Rattus norvegicus: one gene and its partner. The protein of the gene in region 1 purifies or fractionates together with the protein of each later gene. This does not show direct contact. Links are inferred from orthologs where the notes say so. Each region holds a gene or a part of one and is shown in the gene's direction. Other genes may lie near its edges.

Region 1 (3,747 bases):
CTTAGGTAACCTAAAAAGTGTGATACGGATGCACACGTGTCTCTCAACAGTTTTCCTTAAAGCTTTATGCCTACAAGTACCACTCATTTTGCATCATGGATGCAAGTGTCAGCCAACTTATTCCAAAATACTTTAGTCCTACAGTTTGTATCTCCAACAAGGAAAACCTTCAACTCTCTAGGACCTAAATTTCTACCTGTTCTTACTTCTCCGAGTTGGAAAATTTGTATCCATGAAGAAAAGAATACCTAAACGTCAGTTCTAAGTCCCGGTTCAGGGTGACTGCCAGTTTCAAAGTGGCCCTACAGGGAGAAGTTTCTCCTAAAACTTCTCTTTTTCAGAGAAAGGGAATTATTTACCCAGGCTTTTTTACATTTACATGGCTTCCACTGTAAACTTAAATTCGATGTCATTAATAAATTTGCTGTCTGAGATCAAAGACACAATGCTACTTTTTCCCACGTTTGGAAGCAGCAGGTCTCTTATTCCTTAGCCACACAGGACAAAGCATTTCTTAGACCGAGTGGCTGGGATATAGAGGATGGGGACCACAGAGATTTCGCCAGGAAGCAGAAGGGTTCCCCAAAAGAAAACATTCAGACACCAAGTCTTATCCGGCCTAGGAGAAATTTCTTTTCCTCTTACCTCCCTTTTCCCCTTGGAGGGCGCCCAGAGATCACAAGAGTGCTTCAGCTCCTGCTCCAATTCCCCGAGTCTCTTCCATGTTTCCGGAAAACCCTAAGTACAGCCAGCCCCAGTAACCCACGCACTTCCGGTCCGGAACCAGCCCCAAGTACCCAAGTGCCCCAGCGCCTCAGCCCTCAAGTCCGGAGATAGCCGAATATCTCCGATTATGGGTATGCCAGATTCGAGGGCTTCCGAATAGATTCGATTCAAAGCCTCGGCAAGACGAAAACAAACGAACCTGAAAGTAAAATGGGAGGAGCCGGCCGCTAGGCAGATGGAAAAAGCCGATTGGTACCGATGTGGAGACGGAAACGACCGAACAGTTCCGGAGGAACCCGGGGAATTCTGAGCGGTAATAGAGGGGTAGACTATGGCAGTGGGCGGGGCCAGTTCGGTACGTTCGAAGGGCGTTGGCGGAAATTACCGAAGATGCCCGAAGCCGTCGGGACGGACCCGAGTACCTCACGCAAGATGGCGGAGCTGGAGGAGGTGACTCTGGACGGGAAGCCTCTTCAGGCTCTGCGGGTGACCGACCTGAAGGCCGCACTGGAGCAGCGAGGCCTAGCCAAGAGCGGGCAGAAGAGTGCCCTGGTCAAGCGGCTCAAAGGGGTGAGAAGTCAGCGTTGCCGAGGTGTCGGAGGGGAGCGGACCTGGTAGAGACGAGTCTCCGCTGCGGCGCAGGCGCAGTGTCCGGGCTCGGCGCGAGCTCTCTCAGGCCGCCAGCGCGAGCCTGCAGATCCACGCGCACGGTGGTTGGTGTGGCTGGCGCTGGAATAGAGATAACGCCGGTTCCCGCCTTAACGGCAGCAGCGCGAGCCCAAAATGGGAGGGTGCGCGCTACTCTCCCGGAGTGTCTTAAGCTCCTTCCTTCTTCCCCCACCCCCTCCTTGTTTGTGTCTGTGTTTTCGGCGCATGCGCTGCAGAAGGAGTTAAATCCCTCTACAACCACCGGTGTGGCTGGCCTTAAGGGGGCGAGCAGGGCTGTGTCCGAGTTAGGGATACAGTTGGGCGGATGGGGTTGGTGTCTGTGTCTGCAGTAGTACATTTTGGATAGGGTAAAAAATGTCCGCTTGACTAGATTAAAACCTTAGATGAAGGAAAACCTTGATAGAAGGACTTGTCAGAGACGGGTGTCTAATTTATAGGGAATCGAGAAACAGTCTGGATAAGAATTTGGTGAATATTGGTGCGAGAGGTGAGACAGATTACTTTAGGCTGGGGATTTTGTATCGGTTTGAGCAGTGAGAATGAGCTTGTTGTCGTGAGGTATACATACTGTGTATTGGTTTGGTGTAAATGGAGGGAAGGAAGGTGAGAAGGACTAGTGTAATTTGAGTTCATTAGGGTACGTGGCTCATAATACTGATAGGGACTCGGTCAGTTCAGGCTTTGAGTTGACAGACCGTTGCTTATCCCGAAGCTGACAGTTTGTGGGTGGGTGTGGATTAGGTCAGACCACAGGTTACAAGGTCTGTGGTTAGTTTCTCGGTGAAGTTTTTAGTACATTTGATTTGTCTGGGTGTCAACACTGATGGAAATTGTGCAGGTTCATTTAAGTAGTTTTAGTTCTGAAAATCAAATAATAGTCAAATCTAAATTAGCAGCCTAGTGTTGGTTTCATGTAATTTGAAACTTGTTTGAGTACTTGTAATTTTTTTTGCCTGTATTACCAGATTTAAAAGTGGCTCCTAGTCAAAATTACAGACAATAACAGGGGTTCTAGTTCTGATTCTGCCACTTTTGCTGATTTTTTTGTGACATAGCCAGGTCACTGATTCTTTGTGTGCCTGTATTTTACATCCGTATACTTGGGAGCAGTAACCATGGCTACCTTTAAGCGACTTATGAAGATGAATGAGAACAATATTAATAAAGCGCTTTTAGGCTCTGTGAAAGGAATGTAGTATAAATGTATATTTAAGTAATTTAGTGAAAAGGCTGTGGGAGAGGTAGAGATCTGGAGTGCTTTTTTGTTCCCCCTCCTGGTTTCTGATTTTTGCTCTTCTTTATACCAGGCTCTAATGCTAGAAAATTTACAAAAACACTCAACACCCCATGCTGCATTCCAGCCAAATTCTCAGGTAAGAAAAAAGGTTTGTTTAGATAGAATGGGCTATTTGGAGAAAATGGTAAATGGGAAGACTTGGTGTCTTCCATGTTTATCAGAAACAGAATTTTCTTGTTTTTTTATTGCAAGTGATCTCAGTTACTGGGTTTTTGTTTTGTTTGTTTTTGTTTTGTTTTTTTAAGGTCTGTTTTTATTTTATGTGTGTGGGTGATTTGCCTCCAACGGGTGCCCACAGAGGCCAGGAGAGAATGTCAGATCCTCTGCAACTGGAGTTACAGACAGCTGTGAGCCACCATGTGGGTGCTGAATCGAACCTGGGTCCTCTATAAACGCAGCCAGTGTCTTAACCATTGAGCTATCTCTCCAGCCCTCAGACAGTTGAATTCTAATCACCCTCAATTTTGCATAAAGACCTGGAGTTTTAAAAAAAAGAAAAGAAAAAAATATATATATATAAATAAAATCAAAGGAGCACTGAATGAATTTTGAATTCTTGGAGTGTGTCAAAAGTATCACTCTGGGGGTTGGGGATTTAGCTCAGTGGTAGAGCGCTTGCCTAGGAAGCGCAAGGCCCTGGGTTCGGTCCCCAGCTCCGAAAAAAAGAACCAAAAAAAAAAAAAAAGTATCACTCTGATTAAGTGTGCCACAAGAATCTGAAGTCACTTGCCATCAGCTTAGGGGAAAGTTATCTTTGAATATAGATCTTTGAATATAGATGTAACAAAATACTTTTTCATCAAGAACTCTTTTATTGGTACAAATTTACTTTAAAGAATTTGATACTGTATTAATAAACCCTTATTTCTAGGACTAACTCTTAAACATCCTTAAAACCTTGATGACTTAGGACAAGGTACTTAACACTTAGAGACCTTTGTTTCTTTACCCGAAATAGGAAAAGTAGTTTGACTTAGTTCATGGTTTTATAACTGCTCTGCTGGGGTGTCTTAGGGGAAAAAACTTTGTTCTAAGAGTTCCTGCATAAACGTTTT
Region 2 (3,747 bases), about 3.9 Mb from region 1:
ATCCTTCACCAAAATACCACAAAAGCAGAGAACTGTTACCTGGTCCTCTGTAAGAATAGCAAGTGAAGACTATTCTCATGACACCTCTGAATATTCTCCTAGCAAAGATTGTCTCTAGAGTCTAAGCAGCAAGAAGGGATTGTAAGGACTATCAAATAACCCTAGAGAATCCGAAGTGTGTGTTCAGCTTGCCTTCTCACCAGAGCACAGAAGTGTCAAGGCCTATAACCACTATCGTCAGTTCTATCTTTTGTCCATACGCTACATCCGACTTGTTTTTAAAGCAATCTGTTAAAAGCAGTCACCAGATCTTTAACAAACTCTATGGATCAGTAGTGAGATTCAGAACATTATGTGCGTATTGTTAGTTTAGATTCTTTTTTAAAGCGACTGCTTTAAAATGGAGCTGTGGGGTTAATGTTTTACTCTCTATAGCATATTGTGAAGGTTTTGTTTTGTTTTGTTTTTTTTCCTATCAGTCTTTCCCACTAGTACTTTTTTAGGTTTTGTTTTTGTCTTGAAACAGGCTCTTTCTACATAGCCCTGACTGTCCTGACACTCTGTAGACCAGGTTGGCCTTGAACTCACAGAGATCCACCTGTCCTGCCTCCAGAATGCTGGGGTTAAAGGAATGTACCACCACGCAACTGGGTTTGCTTCTCTTGTATTTCGCTTTACGTAAAAAGAGCCCAGTTCATCACAGCCCCAAAACAGATGGTTTCACCCCATCACCTACGGAAATGGTATCATTTGGCTGCAGGCCTTGCAGTACCTGTCTACCTTAGCGGTCCATATAAAATCAGTCCAGTCGGTTTGTCATCACTATGACTACCTTGTTCATATTTTTACATGTCGTGTGAATATTCTTAAGCTTTTCGTCTTCGCTACACATTTTCATCATTACGCATGAAAATGTCACGTTACGCTTACTTGGACAGTGAACGTGTAAGAAAACAAGACTTGGGGTTGGGGATTTAGCTCAGTGGTAGAGCGCTTGCCTAGCTAGCGCAAGCGCAAGGCCCTGGGTTCGGTCCCCAGCTCCGAAAAAAAGAAGAAAAAAAAAAAAAAAAACAAAACAAGTTTCCCCCCCCCCCACAGACGCCTGTAGACCATTGCGCATGCGTCCGTCCCGCCCCTCTCCCAGGGCAACACGTACGCGCCGGCGCGCGTGTGGCCACACACATAAGAAAGTGCGCTTGCGCCGAGCGACGCCCCGCCCTGCCACTCGTCCGCTATAAAATCTCGCTCCTTTCCTCGCGAGAGACGACTAGCTCATGCTCGCCGCAGGGGTCGGAGGTCAGGGCGAGCGTCTCCCGGGCCGAAGGAGGAAGATGGCGGTGGAATCGCGCGTTACCCAGGAGGAAATTAAGAAGGAGCCGGAGAAGCCGATCGACCGCGAGAAGGTGCGGGTCGCGGGCGGCTGCGGAGCAGAGGCGGCGGGCCGGCTGGCGGGCGGGCGGGCGCGGCCTGCGGACGGGTGGGCGGGAAGGCCAAATGGCGCGCCAGAGGCTGACTCCCCGCTTCTTTCCAGACCTGCCCGCTGCTGCTGCGGGTCTTCACCACCAACAACGGCCGCCACCACCGAATGGACGAGTTCTCCCGCGGGAACGTGCCTTCGAGCGAGCTGCAGATCTACACCTGGTGAGCCGCGCGGGCCCGGCGCCTTGCGGGCTGCGCCCTCAGGGACTGACAGGGCGGCCTTACTCGCCGTGTAACGCATTTAGGAGTGGGGTGAAACGTTAGGTTACAGTGAACTCACCGGTCTTGCTCTCACCGTGTGGCCTCCTGGTACAGAATGATACGTAGTTTAAAATGCGGCAGAGAAGATGGTAGATGACTGGGAGTCGGCTGTTGAGTATATTATGTTCTCGGAGCGTAGGCAATAGGAAGCCTCAAGTCTGGTAGCACCAAAATATTAAAAAGCACCATCACACCCGAGTCCTTTCTGCTCCGGCCCTCGGTGTAAACGCGTTTGGTGTGTGCTCAGTGAAAACGGCTGTCCAAGTGTTTTATCTCCGAGTACCTGCCTTGCTGCCCACTCAGCTAGGACCGTTACCCGCTTGTCCTTCGTATTGTGTCCGGTTGACACTGATGGCTTTGGGAAAGCAGCAAAGGCTAACTTTAATATATTTTTGTTGTTGTTGTTGTTGCGGTGGTAAGATATACAACACATAATTGGCCACTTAAAACTTTTGAAGGTTTTCTTTTTTCTTTTTTTTTCTCGGAGCTGGGGACCGAACCCAGGGCCTTGCGCTTGCTAGGCAAGTGCTCTACCACTGAGCTAAATCCCCAACCTCGAAGGTCTTCTTCTTAAACCTTTTCACACACTTCACAACCAGGAACTCTGCACCTTTTAAGCAAACGGTAATTTCCTATTGCAAGCGGACCTCTTGAGTTTGAGGCCAGTCAGACTCGAAGAGTCCTTGTCTCAGAAAACAGACAAACAACCCCACCCCAGCCCCAAAACACGAGCTAGTGGTTGAATTTATAAGGGAGAACTTTTAACAGCCTGATGTAAGCCACTTTCTCAATACTACAATTCTCTGTATCTCAACAAATAAGTTTTGCAGCTTGCCAGGACTTTCCTTACATCTCGATGATATCAAGAACTGCTTTTCTATAAGGTGAGCTCAGCTTTCCAGAGAGGGTTATCTGTTTGGAGAGATTGTTCCAGAGCCACATGGATGTCAAAATCTTGGAACGGTAAAGTTTTTTACTTTAAAGACTGTTGTAGTGTTTATTGTCCACACCCTACAGCATCTGCTCTTGGGACTCTCCCTGTGAGAGCCAGCCCTCTGCCAGGGCAACCCAGTCTAGAAAAGCTTCTTTACTTTAAAAGTTGCCTCAAAAGAAACTCAGAATTATATCACTCCAGAGTTTATGCCAGCATTGACATTCACTAGGGGCAAAATGCAAAACGTGAGAGTTAATTGTGGAATAGAATAGGAATTCTGGCTAAGTAAAATTTAGCTGCATAATTACATAAGAAAGTAACTGTCAAAAAAAAAAAAAAAAAAAGAAAGTAACTGTCTTTTTCTCTGAAGTTTTACAACTTATTTGGTTCCACAATGAACTACATACAGTTCTGAAAAAATAAGATTTTACTTGAACTATGCATACTGTGAACTATATATTTTTGTGTCAGTTTTGGTATTATATCTTTCAAATTTTAACTTATTTTTATGTCTATGGACATGGGTGTTTTACTTTCATACATATGTGTGTGCACATATAAACGCCTGGTGTCTACTGAGGTCAGAAGTGGGTGTCAGATCTCTGGAGCTGGAGTTACAAATGGTCGTGAGCTTCGATGTTGGTGCTTGGAGTTGAACTCAGTGCTCCTGTGTCTGAGAGATTGCGTTTTGTCACAGGGATAGTGAGAAATACCTATCTGAAAGGTCCTCCTGGGTATTTTCACTCGTGTGCTGAGTAGGCTGGCGTGGAGATACGCTGTTCACAGCAAACATGCAGTGGGCTCTGCGGTTCTCTCCTTGGTTCAGTCCCATCAGTGTTCTCATTCTGAAGTGTCTTTCTAGGTTCTACTGTTTTTCCCAGCGCTTGGCACAGAACTGTTTCAGGTTTATACTTTGCATTCCACTTACCTCCTGTTGTTGGCAACACCAGTGTAACCGTGAACTAGGCTAAAGGTTTACATTTTCAGTTACTTTGCTCTAGATTGTGCTGTATAAGCACGAGGGCCTATATTTAGTTTTGAGTTCATATGTGTATTTTTAAGTTAATAATGAC

Evidence for each region. The genes of interacting proteins can lie anywhere in the genome.
Region 2: the proteins of Acin1 (region 1) and Sap18 fractionate together in Homo sapiens (co-fractionation; 7 studies listed by BioGRID and IntAct, with this or other methods). This does not show direct contact. The link is inferred for Rattus norvegicus from reciprocal best matches to the Homo sapiens genes ACIN1 and SAP18.

What each region holds. Positions count from the first base shown.
Region 1 is NC_086033.1:32,114,205-32,117,951, reverse strand, and holds the start of Acin1 (apoptotic chromatin condensation inducer in the nucleus), read left to right. Parts: upstream 1-947; 5' UTR 948-984; coding exon 985-1,296; intron 1,297-1,337; coding exon of another isoform or gene 1,338-1,732; intron 1,733-1,743; exon of another isoform or gene 1,744-1,882; intron 1,883-2,702; coding exon 2,703-2,768; intron 2,769-3,747. Other genes in the region: C15h14orf119 (uncharacterized protein C14orf119 homolog), read right to left, coding at 1,338-1,732.
Region 2 is NC_086033.1:36,057,513-36,061,259, forward strand, and holds the start of Sap18 (histone deacetylase complex subunit SAP18), read left to right. Parts: upstream 1-1,271; 5' UTR 1,272-1,274; coding exon 1,275-1,403; intron 1,404-1,531; coding exon 1,532-1,641; intron 1,642-3,747. UniProt on the Homo sapiens protein: Component of the SIN3-repressing complex. Enhances the ability of SIN3-HDAC1-mediated transcriptional repression. When tethered to the promoter, it can direct the formation of a repressive complex to core histone proteins.